Arabidopsis thaliana: one gene and its partners. The protein of the gene in region 4 interacts with the protein of the main gene of each other region in a pairwise test. Each region holds a gene or a part of one and is shown on either strand. Other genes may lie near its edges.

Region 1 (7,044 bases), about 10 Mb from region 4:
CTTAAAAGAAAGAGGCTCTAACTGTTATGTTGTTACTGTTAAATGATTAATTGCCTACTATATGCTTATATCCCACAATCTGATTCGTTGAGTAATATGCAATACAAATAAATATTGGAATGAATATATCACAAATGGACAGAAGCAGAAAATAAGACATCAACGCTATATGAGTTTGAGAGAGGATCAAGTTTGAAGACAACATTGGACCACTCAATCTTCCCCCAAATCTCACCTCCCTCGCGCCTCTCCATGGAAATCTCGGCAGACCAAAGCTCCACACACTCAGGGTCTCCAATATGTGCGTTCCCGAAGATGACAATGTTCCCAGCAGAGTTACTAGAGATTTTTCTAATATCATATTTGACGTTGGTCTTTGACGGTCGTTTATCAGAGGTACGTCTGAAGATGTATCTTGTACCAGAGAGATACAATTGTAGCTGTTCCAAACCTTTTACCTCTTTCCAGTCCAACTCATCTGGTTGGCACCATAGTATTCTACCGCGAGTAGCACGACAGTATAGTAATTTCCCAATGACACACCAATCGTGTCTACTTCCTACCTTAGAATCTTTTTTTCCGCTTTTCCAGATTCTACCTTCACTTGGCAAGAAGCTAAAGCTTTGGTCCTCCTCATCCACGGCGTAAACCTTCTTCTCCTCTATCACCACACTTTGGTTGATACTATGGGCCATCTTCGGCGTATTAAATATACCCCAAGTTTGGTAAACTGGATCGAATACCTCCGCCCAGTTTGAGGAATCAGCGTCCTCTGGGCACCCTCCAAAAACGTAGATCTTCCCGTCTATGAGGCTTGCCGATGCGGAAGCACGAGCCATCTTCATAGACGGGACGCGGTGCCATGTCTGAGAAAAACAGTTGAGGAACAAGACATCGGAAGTGGGATTGCCGTTTATGATTCCACCGATTACATAACATAGATCCCCCAATTCACTACCACAAAAGAAGATGATTCCGGAGCCTGATAGGGGTGCGATGGGACCGGCCTCAGTCGACGACTACCCGTAAGGACGAACCAGCGAGGGGTTGGATCAGGTAAGATGCGCAAGCAGACGAAGAAAGATGGCTCAGTGCAACCAATCAGCGATCGCGTGCTGCAGAGCTCAGGGGATGTTACGAGAGAGCGGTATTTCTTGGAGCGAGAGATAAGGCTGTTTGGTCCAATCTCGAGACGCGAGCCATGCAACTCACAGCCACAGAATCCGGTAATCCAGACCACGACGGAGACGCCTCATTCATCGTCTTCTTCCTTTTACTTTGCGGTGGCACTTCGGGGGCGTAATTGTACATCGTCGAATGCTCTCGCATTCTCAATTCACAACAACACAAATTTAGAGATCTCTAGATCCATAATCATCTGATTGATTGATCGACCTTTCTTGCCATAAATTCTTGATTGGAATCGAGATTTTGTGAAGATAGGCCGATTCGGACAGAAACTATATATATTTTATGGTTTTTACTTTTCTCAAATTAACAAATATTAAAGGAAAAGGAAAGAAACAAGTACTTGCGCTTCACTTTGTCGGTTACTTGTTGTACTTGTGTTTCACTTTGATCTGGAGAGATTTGAAATTCTCTCTCCTCGTCGCCTTTCAACAAGTTCCGCGGTTGGTTGCAAGAGCCTGGACTCTTTGTTTCTGGTTTGTGAGATTGCAGAACCATCGATCGAGAGCTTAAGAGGATTTTATTTTTACAGTGGAGAATCAGATTTCAGATGTGGGCCTTATTATGTAAGCTTTTTTACTATGGGATATGTCATATGTGTGCCTAGTTAAGTAGAAAACCGTGGCCTTAGGCCCATCTTGTTCTACAGTTATAAATGCCTTAACTTTGATTAAGTGTAGTAATATTATACTAGGCCCAAATATTAAATATAGTCGACATAGTTCATTTCCTTATACAATGGTCTAAGGCGAACACTCGACCATATTCGTTTGACCTGTACATTTCCTTATACGGCATTCAAACGGTAAATAGAAAATCAAAAGTGTGTCCCCAAGTAGAGAGATACAATTGCAGCTCTTACAATCTAACACATCAGTCTCAAACCATATTATGTTTTCTCGCTTTTAATAATTTTTCCTCTTATCCAAAATGCATTTTCACTTGGTAAAGAGTATAAGCTTTTGATCATCCTCGTCCATGATCCACCATGTAAACCTTTGTTTCCTCTATCACCACATTTTGGTGGGTATTGTGGTATATCTACGTCATAAAGTTACCCCAAGTTTGAGTCTTTGGATCAAAAACCTCTTATGAAATAAATAAATATTTTTAAAGATATATTTATAAATAATCGACATAATTTCTTTCCACTTAAAAAACACAAAACTAGATTTAAAAGAATGAAAAACAAGAACTAGATTGCGTTAACTAAGAGCCAATAGTTCAAATGTAAAATATCTCATGCAAAGTCAGAGATCGATGGTTTATAAAAAAAAAATTGTCCCGGTTTGAGAAGATGTACAGACCTAGACGCAGAACATTTTAGTTATTAGAAAACAAATTAGATTATACTTCAGTTTTAAAAGTGAAAGACAAAAAAGAAGATTAGATTTGTTTTATTGAGTAAAAAGTAAAAACTAGTAAAAAGGATCAATTAATTCTTAAGCGTTACGTTGGCTATTCATTTTATTAATATGGCGTCGCATTGGCGAATGCATTCTCACATAAAAGTTAAGAAAAAGCAACAAAATCGCACCGTTGAGAACCGAGTTTAAACCCCACGCGCCAATCCCATTGCATCCACCTTTAAAGAGGTGCATCGTAAGAACCCCAGCGTGAGACACGAGATTACAGCCCACGAGAACCAACTGACAATTCACCACAAACGAAGGGAAAGCCGAACCGGGTAAACCAAACCCGGTCCAGAATCTATAACCGTAAACCACCGAGTAAACCAGAGTCGTCGATAGAATCGCTAGAATCTGGTACGACTGCGAGAATTCTAGCCAGAGGAAAGACGTGAAGGCCATGACGGAGTTACAAAAGAGCTGAGACACGGCGAGCCTCCGGCTACGTAAAACGGCGAAAATCGTACGGAACATGTGGAGAAAGCGCGTGAGGTAAAACACGTATGACCAAAAGAAGACACGACCAGAGGGACGAGTCCCGAGAGGGAAACAGAGAAGCCATTGGAGAGGAGTGGCGGTTTTGCTCCGCCGCCATAACCACCGTGTGTCACGGATCTCTGCGGCAGCGGAGAGGAGGATTCCGGCGAAAATGGTGGCGGAGAGGATCGACATGAGAAGGCTGTGGATTTCGGGGATGTGACCTAAAGGAACGGAACGGTTACTTCGGCGTACGGCGGAGAGGAGGATGTGGAGGGAGGATGAGACGGCGATATAGAGGGAGATTGATGTGAAGAGGAAAGACCACGTGGAGCCCCATGATTGGCTGTTACTCCAACGGAATCCGACGATGTATGGATGTTCGGAGAGGAAGTAGGTAATAGAGTTAATCAGAGCCGTTGACATAGTTTGAATTTGATCGTACGGTGGTGGTGATCACAGTGACTCTTCTTCTTCCTCTGTTCCTCTAGTCCTGTCTTTTATATGTGTGCGTGCGACTTTTTCGCAAAGTGAATCTCTGTTTCTGCTCTTATTTTTTTTGTTGGGATATTTAATTTCCATTTTCCAATAATTGTTGTAGAACATACAGTAGGTCACTAAATGGCCGGTCTTGTCATGAAAGCAAAATGATGTGGACCAATATTAATTGTCACATTTACGTGACAAATTTAATTTGGCTACATAAATGAATATTGTAAAACGGTTATGAAAATTTTTAAGATTTATGGTCTTAATGGGGTTTTACTGTTATTGTCGAAAATCGAAATAGCAAACCATATTTGAAATATCTTCAAAAAGATCAGAAAACTTGGTACGCGTCAAGTTGACCATTACCATAATCGAAAAGCAGGTGGGAAAACCAAAGAACCTCTAGACACGAAAGAGAGTTTGGTGTTGAGAAATTCAGACAAGCGTCAATTTACAGATGCCTTCATGGTTAAGTTTTAAGTTTTACTCAAGGAGCTACAGATGAGAAAGAGTGCATTACGTAAAACAAAATGCAAATATTGGAATATGGATCGGGCGATCGTTACGAAGATGAATCTACATCAGTAATCAGTAACGAGTTAGTATTAAATTACTATTTCACACAATTTGATGACCAGCTAAGACAGAAGATATTTGATACGTATCAAATAAAATTAGTAGAAATCAAATTGTCCTAATCGTTATATTGGCAATAAGCGTTATAGTACCACGTGAGTAAACAAAAATATTAGATACGTACCAAACAAATGCGGCAGGAACAGTGTAATATATCTCTTTTTCACTATGAGGAATTTGGTTTTGTCCACTTGATAGTATTTTCCACAAGTGACTCTTTTCTTTAGTCTCATTTTCCAGAAGTGATTCTTGACCTACCAAACTAAGTATTTTATTTACACGGTCGTAGTTGATTTCTCGTGAATTAATTAAAAGGAGACTTGGACGGTGAACTTACAACGACTACTCCCACGCATAACATGTTCTATCAATCATTTATGTAAGCCCGCCGAAACAATCATTAAGCATATGTTATACTTGTTTAATTTATAAACTAAAAATCATTTAAGTTAAAACTAAAACTAATTTCGGAATTGGCTTCAACTAAGATTTAGGCCTCAAATGACAAGGTTTTGTTGAGTTTTTGGTATAGATAACATGTTTAAAGTAATGATATCTCATATGCATATGCATGGAAGTATTGTAACATTTAACATTCAGAAAGTCAGACTTGAAATTTATAAATCTACATCACAATCGATTCTTTTATCTACTCTTCCAAATTACATAAGCCGCACTAATAGAACTTTTTTTTTTTTTTTTTGTCTTTTTCCTATTTTCCTAGAAAGATTATGAAATATTCAAAAATTATAGTTTGACACAATTTTGGGGGTCAATATATCTTTCTCAGGTTAGTAGGACAACGAGACACCAATGATCAATTCTGTAGAGATCCAAGAATCTTGGGAACAGCACCTGAAGGCTTGGGATTAAACAGCTTTTTCAGCTCATCATACCTCCCAACATCAAAATCCTCAGATTGCATCAGTTTCCTTTGTTTAGCCTCAAACCTGCTTTGGTAAAAACCTTGAAAGGAAGGCTCTCTCGATGTCTTGAGGAAAAATGTGTAACCCGCCATGAAATATACCGATGAGACATAGAAACAGATCGGTTCCATAACATCCCATGTCAGGTCCCAAAACGTTAGCCTCATAAACCCTGCGGTTTGGATGATCAAGTAACCCAAACCAGCCCAAAGCTCTCTTCTCACCAAAGAATGTGCTTTTTGGTCAATGACCGTCTTTATAGCTTCAAGCTCATTTAGCTCCTTTCTTCTTGGGTCATTCGGGTTATGGATTTGTGATAAAGGAAGAAGCCCCTCTATGGATTTGGTTAACTGATCAACACACAAGACCTTATCAGAGAATTGCATAGACAAAAAAGAATTCAAATGGTAAAAAAAAGCAAAGAGGAGGAAGAAGTTACCTGATGAGGTCTTAAACAAACAGAGTTTCCCATAACGATAACGTTTCCTGAATCATCAAGCATCTTAGCGATCAAAGCTCCTTGAGAAGGATCCAAAGAAGAATCACTACAAACACCTAAGAAATCTGAGTAACGAATCCAGATTTTTCCTGTCTCCATCAGCTTCGTTTTAATAACTTCGATCTCTGCTGCTCTTAGCAACTTCTTCACGTCTTGCACAGTAAGCCCTAACGTCTCCTCCTTCGGATGAGAAAGTCCGTCTAATCGAATCCGATCCTTGTTCATATCCATTTCTTTAAGCTTCTCCATCAGACTCTCCCCAATAGACATCTTCGAAGTCGTATCAATCCCATTCATGGAGAATTTATTCAAAAACCTCTGAGAAATCGTCAAATCTCCAGGCTCTGGATCAATCGTGGCTTCTCCTATATCTTTAGGAACCCTAGTTCGCATGGCTAACGAAGAAGAAGACGAAGTACGACAGTTCATGAGACTTTGCGACGCCGTTTTTGACATATTGAACAAACGGTTCGACAAAAGCTTCTTCATCATCACCATGACGAACAGAACAAAAAAAAAATACGAAAAATCGAAATCCCAGAAAGGAAGAGAAGAAAATGAATTCGATTTCAGTTACTACTTGAAAAAATGAAACAGCAAGAGCGAGCTTTATATAGGTAACCAAAGTTCTCTGTTACAGTTTTAATTTTACGTTTAACATAAATCTTGTGGGGCCTTATACACGTCAGCAGATATATCACGAGAAATTCAATAAACGCTGCCTTTTCGTGAATATTGATAGGTGACTACCGTCCACGTGGATAGATTTATGTTGGTGATAGCTTTCGATGCCTCAATAACCGTCCGATTAAATTTTAAAAAGATATAATATCTTGATAACTTATTTGACTATGAGTAAATTACACAACAGAATTAAAAAGAAAGGCAAAAACGTGTCGCCACATTTTCTGTTTTATCTTGTTATTATCTCTTGCATCTAGTAGTAAATGGTAATGTTGAAGAGATGATTTTTTGAGATGTAATAATGTCTATATAAGGAAAACTTAGTAAATATTTGAAACAATGACGTGTTGCCACATTTTTCGTTTTTATCCTTTGCACACCTAATAAAGAGATAACAAATGTGATGTAATGTGGATGTAACTACTGTGTCTGGTTAGGTAATTCAGTAAATTTAAACACACGGACGTGTCGCCACATTTTCTGTTTTATCTACAAATTTGTTTTTCAAAATAGCATCACCGGATAAACATGTTGAAAAAATAAATAATAAAATTAATGATAAACACGTAGAATTAAAATATAATTTTCTCTATAATTTATAAACACGTAGAATTAAAATGATAAACCTGATATTTACGTTTAAATCCAAATACATGTTATCTTGGTTGTACTGCTGATTCAAATTTGATGGTGATGGAGATAATAAAAATTTAGTGTGTGTTTAAATCAAGATCAT
Region 2 (8,012 bases), on a different chromosome or scaffold from region 4:
CCACCTCTTGCGGTTCCATTGCCGAGGCCGTAAAAGCTCACATGCTTCACAGCATTTCCAGCAGCCGTGGATGCTGTGTGCGATCCATGTCCCATGTAGTCCCTCGCTGACTCAGGAAACCCCTCTAGTTTGGGGGTGTAGTACCGTGCTCCAATAAGCTTGCTATAAAACAAACAAATCATCCACATTCATTATAACTAAGCAATTGAAAAATCCTTACACAATTTAATTGTATGATCAAATTTAAGAGTTTTATACTTGTTCCAAGTGAAGTTTTTGCCGCCTTTGCAAACACCTTTCCATTTTTTAGGAGGAGGACCAAAGCCTTTGCCACTAAAACTATCAGATTCCGGATAGATTCCACTGTCGATGACACCGATGATTGTATCACTCTCTATGATAGTATTTCGCTTTGTACGTTTGCTTTCCTTGAGGCCCATGAAATTCCATGACGTTGTTGTTTGGAGCTTCAGTTTCTTGTTAGGAAACACAGACACAACTTCGTCCATACCTAAGAAATTAGATATTAAGAAATAGCAACACATTGAGTTAATAAAGTTTTTTCATAGAGAAGAAAACTAATTTGAGTTTTGATTATTATTTTTGAAAACTTTCGGGTCGTAATCCATTTATGTTCACTTACTTGCTAGTATCTCTCTTTCGGATTTGGTTAGCCGGGCTGCGAATCCGTTGAAACTCCTTTTATAATTCCTAACCAAACGATCCTCGATCGAACTACAAATAAGAAATACATTTGTTAGACTTTGATCGATAGACATGAAACCATATACAAATAATCACATTAACACTAAACAATAAAATTGAATAAATTCAGTGCACCTCTCTCCGGTGACATCTTGAAGAATACTAGTGTGATGGGACATAGGCATGTAGTCAACACGAGCAGGAAGTGCACCCATGTATACTATATACTCCTACAAGTATCATCATCATAGTTATGGTTAGTCATTAGTAATATAATTAGAACCATGATATGATTATAATAATCAAATAACGAAGAAGGATTTGTGCAATTACCTGTTTGTCTTGATCATCTTTGTCTGCTGAAGCGAAACTCACAACAAGCAAGGCAAAGATACATGAGAGGAGACAATAGGAGACAGCAGGTTTTGTCATTTTTTTGATTGATTTGGTTATAATCAAATTTTACAAGATTGTGAGAATGAAAGGATTATTATAGGGAGAGATACTGTATGTACATAGAACGTAATCAAAGTCCTCATCAAACTCCTTTAAGATTTGTTTCTCAAATTATTCTTATATATTAATGACAGTATAATGTACTTTCCATATTAATAGGTTTTTGAATGCACCGTTTAATTTGCTACCGTTTCTTGTTCTACTAATCCTTGCATCATCTTTTATTTTTCTTTTACTTGTATTGTTTGTTCATGAATATAGAGAAAAATATTAAATAGAAAGAATTTTCTTTGACTTGATATTTATTCTCTTGACAAAAGAAAAGATTGACTAACCACTAGAAGTTAATTTTTTTTTTATTATGACTAGAAATGAGTATAATTTGGGCAATTCAGAATGATGGGAAGTAAGGAATGTATATTCTGAATTCGGTTTATTAATTATGGCAGCCTAATCATGGGTAAGAGGTTCATCATTTGACCTTACATGAACGAACGAAATATTCTCCACGCGAATATTTTTTCTTAAAAGTACTTTTGCAGGCGATGTATCTAATTAATTAACCTTTCTAGAGAGGTAACAAAAAATGTACCAAAGAAATTAAGAACTGTATCAAATATTATCCTTAAAATATGACCACTTGTGAAAACTCTATGTGCATATTCACATTTATAGATTTAATTTAGATATTGTGACTAAATGTACTCTTAATAGTTAGGGTGAATTATCCAATAGAAAGCAAATATAGTATACAAATAGATGTATGCAATTGTATGTATCGGCTCCTCTTTCGTCCACGCGATTGCCTTCTTTTGTGCTGTATTCGTTTAAAATCAATAGCAACGTACAATTGCGTCAAGACTAATCAGCAAGAATTGCGTCAGGATTATTCATAACCTAAAGTAATAAATGTTTAAATAGGTCAAATATATACTTTTTGAAAATACGTTACGGGAGTACATAACACCATATATTCTAGCGCATGTAATTTCTGAGTCGAAAAGTTGGAGAGTTGCCCAAGAACTAGAACATGACATTGATGCGGAGGAAGAACCTGAAGTAGTTGAAGCTTGTGAGTATGCGCACGTTCAAAGAGGAGAAGCTATGTGCCAAATTGACGCTTCGTGGACTGGTATTAACCAGAATGTTAGTTTGGGGTTCATGTTGACTAGCTCAACGACCAAGCTGTTTGGTCAAAGTAGCCAGAATTGTTATCGCAATGCCCTCTACGCAGAACTCGGAGCTCTTCTTTGGACAATGGAGTGCACTTTACAACAAAGTATCCAATCTATACATTTTGAAACCGATTGCTTAAGCTTACTTAAGATCCTTGATGAAAGTAAAGATTGGCCGGTGGAAAAGATTTTGCTAGATTTAAAGCTAGTTTTGGTCGGTTTTCTTTATCTCATATTCCACGCACTATGAATGTCCGTGTTGTCTGCCTCGCAAAGAGTGCAAGAGTACGAGGTGTACTTTTTTCCCATATAAACCCTCTCGTTTCGGAGTAGTTGGCCCACGAAACTAACTTTTTCGAACAAATTTAATTATTTGATGTTTTTGCGATAAAAAAAAACAAAAAAAAAACTTGGTTTATTAGAGGGCACAAAATCAAATTTATAACAAAATGAAGTTATTACGTTAGGTTGAAAAAAAGTATGACGTTTCAGGGATTAATAATTTAGCGTTAATGACTTAATGGTCCTCATCTTCATCAGATTAGAATGTAACATTCTATATGTGTCGCACCAAAAGACTAGTCTCGTCCTCTATAGCTATTAGCCTATTACCATCGCAATCTCCGACGTATTTTCCACTAGACTTGTAGCATGTTGCCTTCTAAAGCCGCCACATGATCCACTACCATCTTCATTTGCCCATCGGCCATCGCCACCAGAACCACCACATTGTTTAATTATATTATATGGATCAGAACTATATTCTTACAAATATTATGGGAAGTTGGGAATGTAGTGGTCAATTCATCACATCCTCATTTCATTATTTTCTTCTTCTATTAAAGTTGTTAATTCGACATTTTCAAATTGACGTTGCTTATTATCATTACCACACTCACAAATACAATCATTGCTCTTTAACGCAATTATAAAGCTCAAAACTACATTTCCAATAATACCCCTTGGAACATGCTCTTACTTTTTGCCAGCCTGCTAACGAATCATTAGTTGCCACATCAGCACGATAACTGAAGTCTTTGTCTTTTTCTCAAACGCGACGTCGTTTCTATTCCCTGACACAGAGATACGTATAGATACACCGTATATTCACTTTATTGCTCCTCTCCTCTTTCTCACGAAGAAGAAGACGAAGCCCATCAAATTAAACAAGAAAAATTCCATTTTCCTCCATTGATTGTGAGTGAGAACAAACATTTAAAGCTTCTTACTCAAAGTTTCTTTCTTTATAGATCTCAAAAAATTCGATATTTTTCTCGATTCATCCGCCATTAAGGTACACGAATCGTTTTTCGTCTTCTGAATTACTTGTGGGTTCGTCTTAATTTCGTTGGATCTGGGTTTGATTTTGGAGAAAAGTAATAAAGTTTCTGTCTTTTTTTTCTTTCGAATTTGTAGGTTTTATTGCGAGATCGAAGAGAGAAGGAGAAAATGACGCATAGAGTAGATCAGGAATATGATTATTTGTTTAAGATTGTGTTGATTGGTGATTCTGGTGTTGGGAAATCGAATATCTTGTCGAGATTCACCAGGAATGAGTTTTGCTTGGAATCTAAATCCACTATTGGTGTTGAATTCGCCACCAGAACTACTCAGGTGAGATTCGAATTTTTCTCTGTTTCTCTCTTTAAGTACTTTAGGAGTGAAATTCAGAATATTTGCTGTTAGAATCAGAGTAATACGAAGAGATAGTAATTTAGGTTTGGTATATAATGTTAAGAGGCTTAAAGATGGGATTTTGGGATAGGTTTTTTCTTCTTATTAGCTTGTCTCTGTTTTGATTTATCTTTAGCTATAATCCGTGAAGGTTTTTACTTTCACTGCTATACATAGATTTACCGTCTTCAGTTATGTATTTTGGTTTTGCTTGTAGCTTCATGACCACATTAGTGTAGTGTATATTTCAATTATGTAATTTGGTTTTGCTTGTAGCTTCATGACCTCATTAGTGTAGTGTAGAATTCAGGTATTCGATGGTTAATTTCAAGTGATGGCTCTAGAGCTTTTAGTCTGTTTTGTTTCGTTTAAAGTTGCTTCTTCGTTAGTTTCTTTGATTTGGATAGCAATTAAGTGATAGGTCTTAAGGTTTTTGGTTGCGTTGGTTTCTTAAGATTGAAGAATACAGTGTTTTGAGAGAGTAGACGGCGGATTTTTTCTCAGCTACTGAATCTTTTGTTCAAGAGAAAAAATCTTAGTTGTGCTGGCTATGAGTTATGACAGATGCTTTTCTCATTTTAAGACTATAAATGGATGGTCGTGAAGGCCAATTAAAAAAAATAAGAAGATTCTCACAGCTTGTCTCAATAATTCATTCTATTTCCTGATCATTTGTCATGCTTGACCTTGTCCACCTTTATACTTTCGTAAAGTCAACCGATAAATTTTTTGACAAGAGGAATTCTATGATACACTTATGTAGTTGAATGCGGAAAGATGCATTTAAAATGTTGATTGTTAATAATGTTACTAACCTGGTTTTAACAACTGAGAAGATATATGTTCTTTACTTTTGATTGTTGAATTAGCATTCTTATTCATAAACCTGGGAATGCTTCAATACCTAAGATCTAACTGGTTGTTACGGTGAATCTCTCATGCATACACAGGTTGAAGGAAAGACCATTAAGGCCCAGATCTGGGACACTGCAGGTCAGGAGAGGTACAGGGCGATCACAAGCGCGTATTACAGAGGCGCAGTGGGTGCACTTCTTGTCTACGACATTACTAAGAGACAGACCTTTGACAATGTTTTAAGGTGGCTGCGCGAACTGAGAGACCATGCAGATTCCAACATTGTGATCATGATGGCTGGGAACAAATCCGATCTGAACCACTTGAGATCCGTTGCTGAGGAAGATGGTCAAAGTTTGGCTGAGAAGGAAGGTCTCTCTTTCCTGGAGACATCTGCTCTTGAAGCAACAAACGTCGAGAAAGCGTTTCAGACCATCTTAGGTGAGATCTACCATATCATAAGCAAAAAGGCACTGGCTGCACAAGAAGCAGCAGCAGCTAATTCTGCAATCCCTGGGCAAGGAACTACGATTAACGTCGATGACACATCTGGAGGCGCGAAACGAGCATGTTGCTCTTCTTAAACTAAAGGTAAACTGTTTATTTCGGTTGCTCCTTGTTCAGAGATTCAAACTTTTGTTTTCACTGGCTTCTCTTCTTTTCAAGTTTTGGCTGATGAAACGTAACTATGCAAGACTATGTAGAATACTCTGTTTTTATTCTCTTCGGTTTGGGGTTTGTGTTCAGTTTAAAGCTTGTTAGTAGTATACTTAGAATCTTCTGGTGCTTGCTTGCTTTCCCTTCTTCTTCCCTTGGTGTGTTTCTATTGATTTCTGGTTTATAAAGTATTTTTTCTATCTCCGGTTTAGTCCGGTTCGTCTTGGCTTTGTTTAATCAAATCATTGATTCCTCTCTTATCAATGTATTGTATCCGGTTCCAAAATCCTCTCTTCATGTTACACACTGACAAGCTTCTACCAAAGAAAATAAATTTTAGTATTACGAAAGAAAAAATTGTTGACAAACTAATTTTGCTCCATCTATTATCACAAATAAAAATGCAATTGAACTGCAGTTACTATCAAATAATGGCTATGGTTTTTTATTTTGTTTTGAACCGACCAAATTAAAAGATGTTTTGAATTAATGGTATTATTTTCAAGTAAAATAGAGGAAAGTGACGACGATACATGGAGACAGAAAAGGAGTGATTGAGAAACCGATAACAAAAACGTCATTGTAGCCCAACTTGCAAAAACTAACCAATTGCATGCATGAAAGAGTTTATAATAAATCATGGAATTTTACATTGTCAACGTGTGAGGTTTTTCTTTTTGGACACAACCCAAAAGGCCTTTTAGTTCTAAATTGTTTCATATTAGAAAATTCTAAGTTCGGAAATGCTATACATGAAAATTCTTGGTGATTTCTAATGAGCAAAATAACATGAAAATTCTTGGTGATCCATTATATATATTTATGCGCCGAGAAACCATTCAGAGAAACAATAAGGAAGATAGTAAAACCTCATCTTTCTAATCGATAACTTCCATATCCTTCGATTAAAAGCTTTTGATCAATGCATAGTCCAAACTTTATACTCACATATACTCACATACCCATAATTTAGAATTTAGATCTCATTTAAATTGATAAGCTATTTTTGTAGTTATAAAATACATAAACCCATCCAAAATATTATCATTAAGACAAAATATTAGAATAGGTATATTAAAATAGAATAATGAGAGATAACATTTTTAAGAAATAAACAATAAAGAATCAATGCATAGTAAAAATGAATTTGTTATCTTGTAAATACAATATAATTTTATCGCCTGTTTTGAGCCTTCTTGCTTCTATATTATTCCACCCTGAGCACATAAAATATTTATCATGGTCTATTTTTATTGTTACCCAGTAACTCTTGTTATTCTCTAAAACTTCCACTTGAAGACCACTTGGAGGCATTACAAAATTTTCTATAGTGCGTAGTATCTTCTCTATCTGCAATTTTGGTTAATATAACCTACCCATGTGGGAAAGATCGGTGTTTGTAAGAACTTTCTCTAACATTTTATTTTGATCCATATCAAGCCAAATCACTATTTTACTAAACTCTTAACAAATTTAGAAATTTTAAAAAATGTTTGTAGAAAATAAAATGTTTGAAGACTGGAGCTCTACACATATGTTTATATATAGTTCTCGGCCAAACCAATGTGCTTTGTCTTCAAACCCTTTAACAAAAAAAAAATTGTGCTTTGTCTTCAACTTTTAAAAAAAAAATGAAAAAATTAATTTGTCCAAAAAAAAACTCTAAATGTAGTCAATTATATGGATATATATTCTAATTTTTGTAATATTAAATGAAAATATTTTCTAATATGTTATGTTTCTAAATTTTTACACTTGTTACCAACTTGAAGATTAAACTAATTATAGTTTTTTTCTAACATCAAATTAATTATTAAGCAAAAAATTTCTTATAACAATCTTACTTTTTTAGTCATTTTTATTTTAAATTTCTTCCAAAATTTAATAAAAATCGATTACATTCTTTAGAAAAATAAATTCAGTTAATACTATCAAATTGTATTATTTCAAAAACACTTAAAAATTGCACACTTGGCAGCTTATAGTTTTCGATTGATGTACTTTTTACAATAACTCTTTTTTAAAAAAAGTTTATAACATCAACAAGAAATTTAGTAATTAATGTTTAATGAGATTTTCTTTTATAGATTTTTTTCATTAAACTTTACAAGTCGACCATGGCATTGTCCCTATGGGATCCACTAATATTATAAAGAAAATCTATACAAATTAACCATGAATTCTATATAAACCTTTTTTTGTGAATATATTTATGAAGTTTGTGAATATTTAATATTTTTTTGTTTGACCTAATAATAACAGCAGAAATCGACGTCGATACGAAAATATATATATATATATATATATATATATATATATATATATATGAAAAAAATGAAAATGTGTCATTTATCTAAAACGAAAAAAAAGAAAAGAAGAGAAGCTTTTTTAGTTCTCTCTGCCCAATGGAGAAAAGAAGAACCAGAGATTGCCAAATCATCTTCTGCAAAAGCACCCATCAAAGAAATTACTTGTAAATAGAAAACAAAT
Region 3 (6,923 bases), on a different chromosome or scaffold from region 4:
CAGTATGAAACTGTATATAGTCACTGTGCAGATGCTGTGGAGAACAGAGAGCTGGAAAAGAGGTGAGTCTACTGATTTTGTCTCTACTCCTATACTAACCTCTGATTCTATGTTGTTTCCTTTTTTGATTTTCCTTATTAGAAAAACTTTTCTAATTACAATCATGTGTTCAATTTCTAACCACATTGGAATATTTTATGCATGGAGTCCTCATAGGCAGATTGATGTAGAACATGACTAGGAATCTATCTATTCACTTTTTGACATAAAATTCCATTTCTTTGTTATTTCTTTCTTTCTTTGTAATTTGCATTTTCCTTTTACAGTTGAAGATTCCCAGTTCCTATTTAAATTTTCTCTTGCTTTGAAAGTCTATGTAGAGGATATGCATATTGAGTTTAAGCAAAACATCAATTAGATTAAGTTTCTTCAGACTTTATCTTGGTCAAGTTTTTCCAATTCACGGAACTGGTTGACTAACAGTATGGTATGTCTGTGTGCATTGGCAGTTGTGAGGTTGATGAGCAGAAGGAGCAGATGCAAGCCACCAATTCTATCTCAGTATCTGAGAACTTTTCACGTGAAAAATTGAATTCATCTCCTGCAAGGGGTACTCCAAATTGCAACTCAGTATGCCGAATTTCTACCGCAGAAAGTGAAAATGCTATGCAGAACAACAGTTATTACAGCACCAATGTTCAGTATGGTGAGAACAAATCATTAAATGTTGACACTGTCAAAGAAGAAAGCAAAGTTGAAACAGGCACAACTCAGGTGAAGAAAGTTGTTAGTTCTGATGTGCAATGCACTGTTGAGTCTTTTGAGACTGCACTTGACTCATTGGTGAGGACAAAGGAGACCATTGGCCGAGCAACTCGCTTGGCTATGGACTTGGCGAAATTTGGCGTTTCAGCAAAGGTATGAAACGTTCTCTCTGCTTGTGATCTTGTCTTATCTGTTTGTGGATGCCACATGTTAATTAGAGGTGGAATCCAATCGGAGACAAATTTCTTCTTATAGATTGTTAAAACATTGTACCTGGATCTGTCCCATGCTATATACCTATTTGCATTTATCAAATAGTTAATTGCGAGAACATGTCAAATTGTCAATACCAACTTTATGTATTACTACGAATTAGAGAAACACCTTATATATATTGTTTTGTCTACTGATTTTAGGATGCTGTAGGCATCCAGCCACTCTTTTCAAGCAAAGGACTAGGGCAATCCTTATTATCTTATCTTACCGTTTTAATGTGGAAAGGGACTTTTTGCACGGTGCTTTTGTGTAATTTATAAAACACTATTTTGCAGACTTTTGTCTAATGTTGTTAATGATGCTCTAAGAATCTCTATGTCTAAAATTAGGCGATGGAAATTCTGGCCCACACTTTGGAAAGTGAGTCAAATTTACAAAGGAGGGTGGATTTATTTTTCCTTGTGGATTCTATTGCTCAGTGCTCCAAAGGTTTGAATGGTGAGTATGCTGTTTTTGCTTAGTTGCATCATTGATGTTCTCAATGGCGAGTTAACTTTGTGAATACTACCTTTCTATTCAGGTGATGCTGGTGGTGTTTATCTTTCATCCATTCAGGCTATGCTACCTCGCCTATTAACTGCTGCTGTCCCAGCTGGAGCTACCACACAAGAAAACCGAAAACAGTGCTTGAAGGTATGCGATTTTAGTTAGATATTCTTTTTCTTATGAATACTAACTCTCACCCTTTCTGCTCTTATATAGGTTTTGAGGCTTTGGCTTGAAAGACGGATCCTTCCTGAATCTATAGTTCGTCACCATATAAGAGAACTTGATTCGCTTAGTAATGTTCCTGCTTGCCTCTATTCTCGGCGATCCGCTCGAACAGAAAGGGCGCTGGATGACCCTGTTAGAGATATGGAGGGTATACTGGTGGATGAATATGGAAGGTGAGAGTTGAGTCTAATCAGTTTTGGGATCTTGATTTCTTTATCTCTAGGGTCATAACTTTTTTCACCTTTTTGTTTCAGTAATTCAACTCTCCAGCTTCATGGATTCTGCATACCTCCAATACTTAGGGATGAAGACGAAGGAAGTGACTCGGATGGGGGTGATTTTGAGTCTGTCACCCCTGAACACGAGTCAAGAAGCCTTGAAGAACATGTCACACCGTCCATTACCGAAAGGCATACCCGTATACTGGAAGATGTTGATGGTGAGCTTGAAATGGAAGACGTGGCTCCACCTTGGGAAGGTGGAAGCAGTGCTAGTGCGATCACAGATCAAGCTGATAATAGAGAGTCTGCAAATTGTCTGCTTGTCCCTGGAACTTCACATCAGAATGTTACCTCGTCATCTCCACCAGCTCGCCCTTCGCAGAATGCTCAGTTGGCAATGTCTAATTCCTACTCAAATGGCTTTGACTACCGCAGAAATCCCAGCATGCAGGTGCGTCCTTTTTCTTCTTTTAGAATCTTTTGCAGTTAACAAAGTGAGGATTCAGACATAGTTAATAACTTAATTTGTGGTTAATATTCAAGGGCGACTATCATGCCGGTCCTCCAAGGATGAATCCCCCAATGCATTACGGAAGTCCTGAACCATCTTATAGTTCCCGAGTATCTTTGTCAAAAAGCATGCCACGTGGGGAGGGTTCTAACTTCCAGCATAGGCCATATCCATCTTCTCATCCCCCACCTCCTCCGCCATCACATCATTATTCATATATGGAGCCGGACCACCATATAAAGTCGCGGAGAGAAGGTCTATCATACCCTCACAGATCTCATTACACACTGGAATTTGACGAAAGGAATTATCAAGACAGCTATGAGAGAATGAGGCCTGAACCATGCGAGAATCGAGACAATTGGAGATATCATCCGCCCTCTTCTCATGGTGGACTCCGATACCTTTTTTTTTTTTTTCCTTATAATTCTCATGCATGCTAATAGGCATATATGAATGCATATATGAATGCATATCTGCGCACACAAGCACTTGCTCATGGATGCTAATAGGCGTGAATGCTTTTCTTTTTTTTATATTGCAGGTCCACGATATCATGACAGACACAAAGGACCTCATCAATCGAGCTCATACAGTGGGCATCACCGTGACTCAGGAAGGTTGCAGAACAATAGGTGGAGTGATTCTCCGCGTGCATATAACAATAGACACTCTTATCACTATAAGCAGCATTCGGAAGGTCCTGTTCCAGTAGGAATGAGAGGTAATATGGAAATTCATACTTGTTCCACGTCATGAATCAGAGCCTTTTCTTATACTGGAATTGTTTCCTAGGTTTAGAAACTCTGACATTTTCTTTTGACTGGGGATTTTATATCATTAGGTCTCTGAGATTCGAGATTGTTTTGCTTGTCCTGTGGGTATATCTTGAATATAAAAATGAACTTGGAGTATGTTTGTGGATATGCAGATCCAGGGACGTGGCATCAAAGGTGAGTGGGAGACAAGAGATGAAGAAGGGCAAAGGTGCAGTCTGCTCTAAATGAAAGACATTTGGGCTATAGTCATGGAAAAGAAGAAATAGGGAGAAACAAGTGTAGGTTGGAAAGACCTGGGCCACTTGAGAGAGATGTTAATATACAAAAGAAAAAAGGCACAGTTGGTGTGTGTACATATGACCAAAAACGTCGTGGAGAAGGCTAAAGAAACAGTCGTGAAAAGCCATTTGTTGTAGTAGAGAGAGAGAGATTTGAGTTAGGCAATACTGTCACTGATTTAGGCATTTGATATTTTGTAAACAAAATTTTTTGGTTTATTTTTGGGGAGTGGTGGTAATACACACTAATATGCATTTCTGTCACCTGGAGAGATGAGATGTCTCTAAAAAATGGTCAAAGAGGCGATTAATTAGTTAAATAGCAAATGGAAAAAACAATTAGGGATGGGTTTGTTTGTTACCAAGGAATTAACATAACAGCTGTAATGCTGCTGCGAGATAAAATGAACAATGAAGAAGCGGAGACCTGTTGACTTCAAATAATTTTAATTAGTTTCTTCTGTGCGATAGAGATCGATCGAGAGATGGGTGCTTCATCATCATCATCTGTGTCGGAGAAATCAATCCATCAATTCACCGTCAAGGTTTTCTAATTTATGAATCCCTTTTCTTCATTGTTTGTTTATCTGATGAATGAATGCGTTTCTGACTTGTTTGTCTGATCTATCGGAAATTAGGATAGCTCCGGCAAGGAGGTTGACCTAAGCGTGTATCAAGGGAAAGTGCTGCTCGTCGTCAACGTCGCTTCTAAATGGTCCGTCAGATCCTCCGATCATCTTCTCTCTAGTTAATTATTATTTCTTGATTCTAAATTTTTTGTTAACAAACAATTTGGGGAACAGCGGATTCACGGAGTCCAATTACACCCAGCTGACGGAACTTTACCGGAAATATAAAGATCAAGGTCAGACCATACAAGAATATTAGAATAGGAATGTATATATTCCTTTCTAATAAAGAAGACTCTTCTTCTTTTGCTTTCCCTTGTTACTTCATCGTTTATGTAAGATTTTTTGTTTTGGTTTCCTTTGGATCATCATCAGGTTTTGTGGTATTGGCGTTTCCTTGCAACCAGTTTCTGTCCCAAGAGCCTGGCACCAGCGAAGAGGCTCATCAATTTGCTTGTACTCGCTTTAAGGCTGAATACCCTGTTTTCCAAAAGGTACCTCAACAAACAAGACACTTTTCTTCTTCATATGCCTTTAATAGGTAGCTGATTTTGTAAGTTTATAACTAAGCATGAATGATCATGATCATCTATGTGTGTGTGTAGGTGCGTGTAAATGGACAAAACGCTGCACCAGTCTACAAATTCCTCAAATCTAAGAAACCCTCTTTTCTTGGAAGTCGTATCAAATGGAACTTCACCAAGTTCTTGGTCGGCAAAGATGGTCAAGTCATTGATCGTTATGGCACAACTGTTTCACCTCTATCCATCCAGGTCTCTAACTCTCTTGTTCTTCATATTCTATTATAAAATCATATCACTCTTTTATGGCTTACTTCATGTTTGTTTTCTGCATAACAGAAAGACATCGAGAAAGCCCTTGCACAAGAATTGTGAACACGCACAGAGATATTTGACTCCTTTGGAAGAAACTTCTCTCATACTCTCGGTCATGCAGTCAAGTTTCTACATTTCCCATTGCACCTTCCATATGGGCCTTGTATTCATCTTATGTGTAACTCTACTAGCCATTTCTTTTGTGAAATTTGATCAAAGGTGATTCCAATAAGTTGATTTGAACCCATAAAAAAAAGAAAAAAAAAAACTAATTCCAACAAATACAAACCACCAGCTAAGCTAAAGATTAGACGAAATCAGCAAGATCAAAATAAAACATCAATGATTTTCACTCAAGAGAACGCCTATAACAACGTCTTAGGATACCAAAAGACATTTTAGTCTATCTATCACTCTCACCATTTACTTTTTATGGTGCAAATTACTCAGTTTCGACGATAATTAATGTTTAAATCTGTCTCATGTGTTCAATGAGAACTTCTTTCCATCTGTAATGTATCGATTATAAGTGGCGTATCACTCTCACGTGCGCTGTTTGTGAAACGTGGCAGACAATTGAAGAAATAGAGAGTACAAAGGAGAAAAAAGGAGTACTTAAAAGGAGACCTTGACCACTCTTTCATGCATCCATCCTTCTTCTTTCTTGTCTTATCAGTTTCTTTTGCTTTTGTTAGAGATTAGTCAAACTACTGATATTATTAACATTAACCATTTTTATGGCTTTATTTTGTGAACAAACGACCCACCTATCCCATAATCACTAATTAGACATTACAACTAGTGTACTGTCTTTTCCATTTTATTTTTTCTCTGTGTATTATATTTACATTTTTTCTTCTTCTTCGATTAGCACTGGGTATCCCGTCAAGAGTTTTCAAAACCGAAGATAGGGACCAATACCAACTACTCCCGAAAGTGAGCAAGCCCCGAGCTTTCCTCCATGAGTCTACGTGACCCGAACAAAGCTACTTAGTTTGGAGATTTGTGTAGAGCCCCGTCCTTTAGGTTCTGGCTCAACTACCATTGCACTGCCTTTTATTTGCATCGTTTTTGCTATGGTGCTTAATACATTCAAGGGCTTTGGTGTAGCCATTTCGGTGCTTTAGTTGAGGCATAGTGAGAAATTTAGGGAAATTATACAATGAAAGCATACAATTTTCTTCTTTAACAACACAATGAAATTAGAAACGGAAACCCTCTTAATTAATAGTTTAACTGATACCAATTTGGATCAATTCCAAAGCTTATAGTCAATGGCATGAAATGAGTGATGTGGTGGGATGAACGTAACATTCATGCTAAACTCGTAAGCAAATCCATAATTAAGAAGTTGATCGTGATTTATTTAATTACATTTCCTAACTACCAAATTAGAGATATTTAATCATTCCATTCGCACCTAACACACAGCAAGACATAAAGACCCACAAACCACAGGCTCCATCATTAAGACTCATGTGTGCATGAACAGAAGTTTTCTGTTCAAACAATATCCTCACCGCAAAATCAAATTTGAAAACATGATAAGCTTTTTCGAAAAAAGGAAAAAAAAAATGATACCAAATTGTTTCGAACATTTAATCAATGATAGAAACTAAACATAAGGTTTTAGTTCAAAAGCGAAGCTAATGGTGAAAGCATCATGCCTTTTCTTCACACTTAGAAACATGTAGGTCCTCCATATTATTCAGTTCAATAATGTATCTTAATTTTATCCTATATTTGCATTTTAGATTATATCTACCAAATTATCTCTACACTATGTGCCAAATTATTTGAATCGAGTTCGAGTCAGCATGTATACTAGTATATAAGCAATCTATCTCTCTAGCAGCCAAACACACACACACGAATAGTTTACTTTGAAAATTTCTCGATATATAGGATCTCAAT
Region 4 (8,119 bases):
TAATTTATTTTTTGATAATTTAGTTTTTTTTTTTACTTTGAAATTTATTTCTCGTATTTGTAATTCTGATATACAAGGTTTAAAGTTTAACAATAGATATTAAACATATTTCAGATAGAAAATTAATTAATAAACTATCAATGATGATCAATAGAAAGTTATTTAATTTATAGTTTAAATCATACATTATATGAAGACACACATACACCATAGCACAATAGTGATTATGCCATGGTCTACTTATTTAATATATTTACAATGATAATTATTTATGTAGTATTGTTAAATACAATTATTATGAATTTTTCTTATATAAAAAAATTGTCGATGAATTGCTATCATTTGATCTTGGTTATCTGATTGTCTCATAAATCTATGTGGTGTGCGGGGTTCCATCCGATCGACACCAATATCTGCAGTTACATACTGGATTTCCTTTCTTGGATTGTCCTGTAGTTGCAATAGGCTTGCAAAAACTAACTCCTTGAGGAGATATCTTTTCACATAAAGAGGTACACAATTTCGAATCACATGTTGATGCACCCTTAGATACATGTGAAGCATTTGTTAGAACTTTAATACAAAGACGTTGTTTTCCCACTGTTCCTTTCACCATCATCCCTAATATAGTAAATATTTGAGACATAAAAATATCAGTTTCTTTTTTTTGAAGATTAATGTTTAAATACTTTTGCATATATTAATTAATAAAGTATTGGACATAATGGAAAAAAGCTATCCAAAAACTATGGATACTATGGTTTTGGAATGACTTTGATCTTTAACACTATTTGACAAGGTTTTGATATAAAAATATTGAATTTGCTATTAAATAATTAAATTTAGCTATTTAAGTGAGATATAGAATTGACATTATTCAGATAGATTGCATGTTCTTAATATCTAATTTTATTTTCATATGATAAAATATATAAATATTTTTTAAGAAAATATGTTTGTAAATCTAACTACAAACCTATTGCAAGGACGATGAAGATAGTTAGAATGGTTGTTGATAGTTGACTAGCTTTCTTCATCTCATATACTCTAAACAAATTGATGATGTTTTTTTTTTTTTTTTTTTTTTTTTTTTTTTTTTTTGTTTTGTCAGATGATGTTTTTGGTTAATTTGTTTAATGAAAAAGTGAACAAAATTTAAAGTATATATAAGAAAAGTTAGATGTGTCTATTTTTTTAATGATACATCTTAGATCTATCACCTCCTGAAATTTAGGTTAAAAAAACGTGGTTCTCCATTAATTCCATTTTTTTGTTAAAGGATTGATTCCAATTTTTTTCCTTATCTAATTAAGGAGTCTTAGAAGTTAGAACCACACAATAATTTCAGTTAACACCATTAAATTACAAAAAAAAACTTTTTGATGGGTGATTTAAGTAAGAGGAGAAATTAAAAAAAAGATATATGTTCGCCTTAAAATTTGTTGAAACAATGTGAAATTCAAAAATAATAATAAAAAATCAAATGTATTTCGGAGACTGCATAACTCGTCTTTGGATAATACATTAATACCATACATTTTTTCTTTTATTCTAGTCTCTTTTCTATATATATATATATATATTTATTTATTTATTTATTTTTAAAAACCTATTTAGATAAAACATAGAAGATTTTAAAGAATAGAATGTATTTACGACAAAAAAAGAAAAGAATAGAATGTATTTACAGCAAATGAAAGTAACATACATAATTACATACAAAAAGCTAGTAAGAACCTTCACACCAAAAAAAAACTGGTACGAACCAAACTGATTTACCAATCAACAGAGCCGATCCTAGGTTGTGGGGCTTAAAACATTTTTAGTATGTGGTCTTTCCAAAATATACTAACAATAAACGTTTAATATTAATAATCTATAAAACATGAAAGGGAAAAAATACTATAAGCATTATCTGAACGTGAAACAAAACAAACACTATAGAAACGTGAAAAGAAAAAAATTGCTAAGAAAAAGGGTAATTTGCAGCAAAAAAAAAGAAGGAACGAAGTAAGTAGAAGTTGTGGTCGTTTGATCCCACGATCAAGGATGGGTCGGGCCTGCCAATCAACAATAGAAAAATATATTGTGAAAACATTAGCAATGAATTGTCACTAGTCCAAACAGATTACAACTTTTCAAAGTTCTTTACACCCTCATAATTTCTTGTTTTATGCATCCAACTCTATGGTTTAGCATATGTGGTCCAGTTGTAGGAGGGAGCTTTGGTAAAGGGTTTTGTTGTAATCTTAAAACTTGGGGCCTATTTATAGAAGAAAAAAAATAATTGAGGGCCTATTTTGTAAAGAAAAATTTTCTAAAACTTTGGGAATCACATTCAATTGTTTCTCCTTGCTCCGTTGAGTTACCGCACTAATGCTCACTACTAGCAAACACACTCTTTCAGTGCGACAGCCTCATGAGCTTGAAGTTGTTTAGCAAATCGGTTCCTACCAATGTACTAAACCGGTTATATAATCTGATTATGTATAACCAAACCGGTTATTGTATAAATGTCCAACCGGGGTTCACGATTCTACCGTTGTTCCGCCTAATTCTGATTTGTTAAACGACGAGAAATTTCTTATGGAAGTTAGGGTTTCCTGGCCGTTGATTGGTTCGTTCCCTGTTACCTTGTTCCATTCCAATCAGTTCTCGTAGAGCTTCTAATGTCACGGCTCGTGATGGCTTCTTCAATTCTTCGAGTGGGAGGATGCGTAATCCATGTGCCAATAGCAGAGTCGTGCTCAGATTGTACCAGGGGCGGATCTAGGTGTATGGGATGTGGGGCACGTGCCCTACATTAAATTATAAGTATTAGCTTGTAAACTTATGCAGTTTAAATGATTCAGCACAACTGGTTAAGTGTTTTCAATATTCGTCCATCCTTACCCAGGTTCGAGACTAGTTGAAGTAACTTTTTTCTTTTTTTGACTTTGCTCATTTTTTCCCCCAATTTTATCAATTTAATCACTTATTTCTTCCTTTGATTTATGAACATCCACTTTTAACTTTCTTTTAAAATTTCTTTATTAATTGATTAGATAGTATATGTGTATTGATATATTTCTAAAATGTTTGATATATCTATTCATTTACTTTTATGTGAAAATGAATAACAAAGTTATATGAACACAATTTCATAGTTTTTTTTTGGGTACCTATATAAATTGTGAGAAACAAATTACAGAATTTATTGAACTACATATTTTATCACAAACTTATAGTTTAATAACGAATAGTATATATAATAATTTTGATAAAAAATAATATATAATAAGTAAATTAATAGTGCCCCAGATTAAATATTTTTCTAGATCCGCCACTGGATTGTACCATGGAAGCGTCTGATGGAGTTGTCTTAATTAGACATATGCCAATGGAAATGTAATGCTGTCCGACAATCGTCTTGATGCTTCAAGTAGCCTGTATTTTTTTTTCCGTGGGGGTTCGAAACTTGGATTCAGTCAGGTCATTCTTTAATCTTTACTTTAAACCCATTGTCAACAATGCCTCTAGTAAAACAATGGTTTTGTATTACTGTTTGTGCTGAGAAAGTAATAAGATAAGCTATTGAAATTGTCAAAATATTACTAATTTGGGTCTTTGGATTGCTCAATTTGTTGGTTATTTAACTCATATCACTCTGCTTCGTTGTGTTACGTTGAGGAGATTCATTCAACAAGCATAGTGGGCGTGTAGTCTGGGTGCATCTCACATCATTAACATTTTTGAAACTTCAACATTCTTTTAATAAACATATAACACATCAGCTCATTGCTTTGATTGGTTCTCTGATTTTGTCTATGCTCTGACTTAGCTTTTATAATGCCTTGGATATTTTAAGTTTGACAACTTGCTGAGAGAACTCAATTGCTATTTAACTGATATGAAGTGTACGGATATGTACATACTAACCCCAAACACATTTGTAAAATCATGAGAAAGACCAAGAAGATTTCCTTTTTGATCTTCTGGGTTGTTCTCATAAGCATAATTGGTGCTATTTCTTCGCAACAATGCAACGAAACTGGGTATTTTGAACCTTGGAAAACTTACGACACCAACCGTAGGCAGATCCTTACATCTCTTGCTTCCAAAGTGGTGGATCACTACGGCTTCTACAATTCTTCCATCGGCAAAGTTCCTGACGAAGTGCACGTAATGGGGATGTGCATCGACGGGACCGAACCTACGGTTTGCTCCGATTGTCTCAAGGTCGCGGCCGACCAATTACAAGAGAATTGTCCTAACCAAACTGAAGCGTATACATGGACACCTCATAAGACGCTCTGTTTTGCTCGTTACTCTAACAGTTCATTCTTCAAGAGGGTTGGATTGCACCCACTTTACATGGAGCATAGTAATGTGGATATCAAATCAAATTTGACATATTTAAATACGATATGGGAGGCTCTAACGGATCGTTTGATGTCTGACGCATCCTCGGATTATAATGCATCATTATCTAGTCGTAGATATTATGCAGCTAATGTAACAAATCTGACAAATTTCCAGAATATATATGCATTAATGCTATGCACTCCTGATCTAGAAAAAGGTGCTTGTCACAACTGTCTGGAAAAAGCTGTTTCTGAATATGGCAACCTTAGGATGCAAAGAGGAATTGTTGCATGGCCAAGCTGCTGTTTTCGGTGGGATCTGTATCCCTTCATCGGAGCTTTTAATTTGACACTTTCACCCCCGCCAGGTAATTCCTCAACTAAAAGAAAAAATATGATTCTAAGAACGTATCATTCTGCTAAGTTGCTGACCAATAGTTTGAGAAAGGTTTGAAACAGATTCAATCACTGGATGATGCATTTTCTCTATTGTAAACTATCCTCTGTGATTCTACTATGCCCAGGTAGCAAAAGGAATATCTCAGTTGGATTCTTTGTGGCCATTGTTGTTGCCACCGGAGTTGTCATCTCTGTGCTATCTACTTTAGTAGTAGTACTTGTTTGCAGAAAGAGAAAAACTGATCCTCCAGGTGAGTTGATTCGTATTTTACTCACTGATTTCTTTTTCTTTAAGAACAATAAGGCATGCATGCTTAATCAGGAACACTGCATGATGCCGGGACAAGGGAATTTTAACTAGGAATAGTTTATTCAGTTCAATGGTCAACTATCTAAAACTTCTTATTAGCTAACCAATGTTTATTAGAAAAATGAAAAACTTTGGTGAATATGAAAACATATCATCATGGTTTAGATTTGTTATGTGTACGTACTTCCATGTTGCAAGGAATAATATGACATTTCTGTGTAGCAGAGGAATCACCTAAATATTCACTGCAGTATGATCTTAAGACAATTGAAGCTGCAACATGTACCTTTTCAAAGTGCAACATGCTTGGTCAAGGTGGATTTGGAGAAGTTTTCAAGGTAAATCTTCTCAACTTCCATTAATGAATATAGGTGGTGTGATGATCTTATTCTCTTTATTATTTGTAGGGTGTGCTTCAAGACGGATCAGAAATTGCAGTGAAGAGGCTGTCAAAAGAATCAGCTCAAGGTGTACAAGAGTTCCAGAATGAGACTAGTCTCGTGGCAAAGCTTCAGCACAGAAATTTGGTTGGAGTTCTCGGGTTTTGTATGGAAGGAGAAGAAAAGATACTCGTATACGAATTTGTTCCCAACAAAAGCCTCGACCAGTTCTTGTTTGGTATTTTGCATATAACACTCAGCTCATAGTTTTTGAAGTTCTAATGATGAAGTTGCAGTTCTTGAAACTTATTTTAATTGACTTACACAGAACCTACAAAGAAAGGCCAACTGGATTGGGCGAAACGGTACAAGATTATTGTTGGAACTGCTAGAGGAATTCTATATCTTCATCATGACTCACCCCTCAAAATCATACACCGTGACCTCAAAGCTAGTAACATCCTCTTAGATGCTGAAATGGAACCCAAAGTCGCAGATTTTGGAATGGCAAGAATTTTTAGGGTGGATCAATCTCGAGCGGATACAAGAAGGGTAGTTGGAACCCAGTAAGTACCCTTTCTTCTTTTTTGCCTTTCAATCTCTGAAGTTTTGATGACCTTTTTGTCACTGGTAAACTCAAGAATTATTTTTTGTTTTCTTTCTAGTGGCTACATATCTCCAGAGTATTTGATGCATGGCCAGTTCTCGGTGAAATCTGATGTCTATAGTTTTGGAGTCTTGGTTCTTGAGATTATAAGTGGAAAAAGAAACAGCAACTTCCATGAAACTGATGAATCCGGAAAGAATTTGGTCACATATGTGAGCATTAAAAACTAAACTTTGGAAAGACTCTACTTTTTTAACCATGCAATGTAACGTAAGGTTTTGACTACTAGTGATCATTGTGGTAGGCTTGGAGGCATTGGAGAAACGGATCACCATTAGAGCTTGTGGATTCAGAACTCGAAAAGAATTATCAGAGTAATGAAGTCTTCAGATGCATCCATATCGCGCTATTATGTGTTCAAAATGATCCAGAACAACGTCCGAATTTATCTACTATCATCATGATGCTCACAAGTAACTCCATCACTTTACCGGTGCCTCAGTCACCGGTATATGAGGGAATGGACATGTTTCTACCTTCTATCAAATCTCTTCCTGGTTCTGTCAACGATTCATTGATTGATGACTTAGTTCCTCGCTGAAGATGACAGTTACTTCATATCCGAGGTGTTTCTATAATTTCTCTTAGCACTTTTTACTTTTGTTGTGTTGAGTCATACAGTGTTACTAAAATACATTGAAACTCTCTCTTACAGGGTTTCCTCTGTTCAAGCGAAGTTCGAAGATAAGCTGACTCAAGCAGGTTTTATATAACTCAAAGATTGGTGTTTTTGAAAGTTCTAACCGGAAATCAAATTGGTTTGTATGATTTTAACCGATTTCTGTTTACGGTTTTATAATGATGTCTCCTTGGCTATCTTTTGTTGGGGTTTGAATTTGTTTCTTTTGTATTGGTTGGAGGATTGAAAACTAATGTACATGTAAATTTTGGCTAGTCAAGTTTGGCTGCTGACTCCATTTGTCTCCAAATTTGGTCTGCTGACTTCTATAAGGTCTCTCAATTGGCTAACTTAATGCACGTTTTCCTTTTCTTTTTTTTTTTTTGTTTGGATCTCTGCAAATCTAATGTAAAATGGAGCGACATAACATGGGAGTTTTCTGACCAATTCACACTCTACTTGCTTCTTTTTTTGGCAGCACACTCTACTTGTTTAGTTATTATATTGAGTATTATGAATCCATATTATTGGTGGGGAATGGACATTGTGGTTTTGATTATTACTTCTAACTCTTTTTTTTGTCAAAATCAACGGTCCTATCTGTCATGGAAAATCTTCGGAGGATAAACCTTCTAACTTTGAACATTTAACACAGTCTTTGGTTCTGATCTTGAGAGAAGAAACTCAAGAGTTCATTTGTTCTAATCTTTTGTTCTTTCCTTGTAAGGTTAGATGTTGTTTCTGCACAAGTCTGCTTCAATAGCTACTTTAAACCCAATGCTACTTACGACTTAAACCGTCGCCTAATCTTTTCTTCTCTTGCTACTAATGTCACAACTCACAAGGGATTCTATAACTCCTCGATTGGTCAAGACCCCAATAGAGGCTTCATCAATAGTATGTGCATCCCTGGGACTAAACAAGAGACTTGTTCAGATTGTATCAAAGGCGCATCAGACGGCTTATTAAGGAGATATCTTAACCAAACAGAAGCTTAGACATGGCCAGATTGTTGTATGGTACGTTATTCCAACATTTCTTTCTCTGGATTTTGTTTGGAAGGACAAGAAAAAATAAACGTTTACGAGTTAATTTGTACCTAACAAAAGCCTTGACTATTTCCTCTTTGGTATGTTATGAGCTTAGATACTTTTAAGTTCCAAGATGTCCTTATTGTTGCTAATGAGTCATATACTTGCAAATGTACAGACCCTGCAAAACAAGGTGAACTAGATTGGACAAGACGGTACAATATCATTGGGGGGATTGCTCGAGGAATTCTATATCTTCATCAAGATTTACGGCTTACAATCATACACCGTGATCTCAAAGCGAGTAATATTCTCTTAGATGTCGACATGAAACCCAAAATTGCAGATTTTGGCATGGCTAGGATTTACA

What was found.
Region 1: the proteins of CRK33 (region 4) and HOS3-1 interact in a protein complementation assay, tested with the Arabidopsis thaliana proteins (one large-scale study listed by BioGRID).
Region 2: the proteins of CRK33 (region 4) and RABA2c interact in a protein complementation assay, tested with the Arabidopsis thaliana proteins (one large-scale study listed by BioGRID).
Region 3: the proteins of CRK33 (region 4) and GPX5 interact in a protein complementation assay, tested with the Arabidopsis thaliana proteins (one large-scale study listed by BioGRID).

Annotation. Positions count from the first base shown.
Region 1 is NC_003075.7:17,345,967-17,353,010, reverse strand, and holds HOS3-1 (GNS1/SUR4 membrane protein family), read right to left. Parts: upstream 3,794-7,044; 5' UTR 3,501-3,793; coding exon 2,726-3,500; coding exon of another isoform or gene 2,631-2,725; exon of another isoform or gene 2,384-2,630; intron 2,230-2,383; coding exon 2,078-2,229; 3' UTR 1,848-2,077; downstream 1-1,847. Other genes in the region: AT4G36840 (Galactose oxidase/kelch repeat superfamily protein), read right to left, coding at 129-845; AT4G36820 (calcium uniporter (DUF607)), read right to left, coding at 5,017-5,475, 5,565-6,122. UniProt on the Arabidopsis thaliana protein: Probable very long-chain fatty acid (VLCFA) elongase that controls VLCFA composition and functions to inhibit abscisic acid (ABA)-mediated stress responses, including regulation of stomatal aperture, maintenance of primary root growth and inhibition of germination.
Region 2 is NC_003074.8:17,244,136-17,252,147, reverse strand, and holds RABA2c (RAB GTPase homolog A2C), read left to right. Parts: upstream 1-3,324; 5' UTR 3,325-3,630; intron 3,631-3,752; 5' UTR 3,753-3,785; coding exon 3,786-3,950; intron 3,951-4,960; coding exon 4,961-5,449; 3' UTR 5,450-5,920; downstream 5,921-8,012. Other genes in the region: AT3G46840 (Subtilase family protein), read right to left, coding at 1-162, 259-511, 644-735, 841-935, 1,039-1,137. UniProt on the Arabidopsis thaliana protein: Intracellular vesicle trafficking and protein transport.
Region 3 is NC_003074.8:23,306,132-23,313,054, forward strand, and holds GPX5 (glutathione peroxidase 5), read left to right. Parts: upstream 1-3,605; 5' UTR 3,606-4,029; coding exon 4,030-4,089; intron 4,090-4,182; coding exon 4,183-4,259; intron 4,260-4,347; coding exon 4,348-4,409; intron 4,410-4,548; coding exon 4,549-4,667; intron 4,668-4,778; coding exon 4,779-4,946; intron 4,947-5,033; coding exon 5,034-5,069; 3' UTR 5,070-5,266; downstream 5,267-6,923. Other genes in the region: AT3G63070 (Tudor/PWWP/MBT domain-containing protein), read left to right, coding at 1-62, 510-918, 1,371-1,479, 1,562-1,674, 1,744-1,928, 2,010-2,427, 2,520-2,877, 3,032-3,211 and 1 more; RTFL14 (ROTUNDIFOLIA like 14), read left to right, coding at 6,922-6,923. UniProt on the Arabidopsis thaliana protein: May constitute a glutathione peroxidase-like protective system against oxidative stresses.
Region 4 is NC_003075.7:6,974,909-6,983,027, forward strand, and holds CRK33 (cysteine-rich RLK (RECEPTOR-like protein kinase) 33), read left to right. Parts: upstream 1-3,939; coding exon 3,940-4,711; intron 4,712-4,867; coding exon 4,868-4,993; intron 4,994-5,277; coding exon 5,278-5,390; intron 5,391-5,459; coding exon 5,460-5,670; intron 5,671-5,760; coding exon 5,761-5,998; intron 5,999-6,097; coding exon 6,098-6,251; intron 6,252-6,343; coding exon 6,344-6,640; downstream 6,641-8,119. Other genes in the region: LCR11 (low-molecular-weight cysteine-rich 11), read right to left, coding at 374-621, 977-1,037.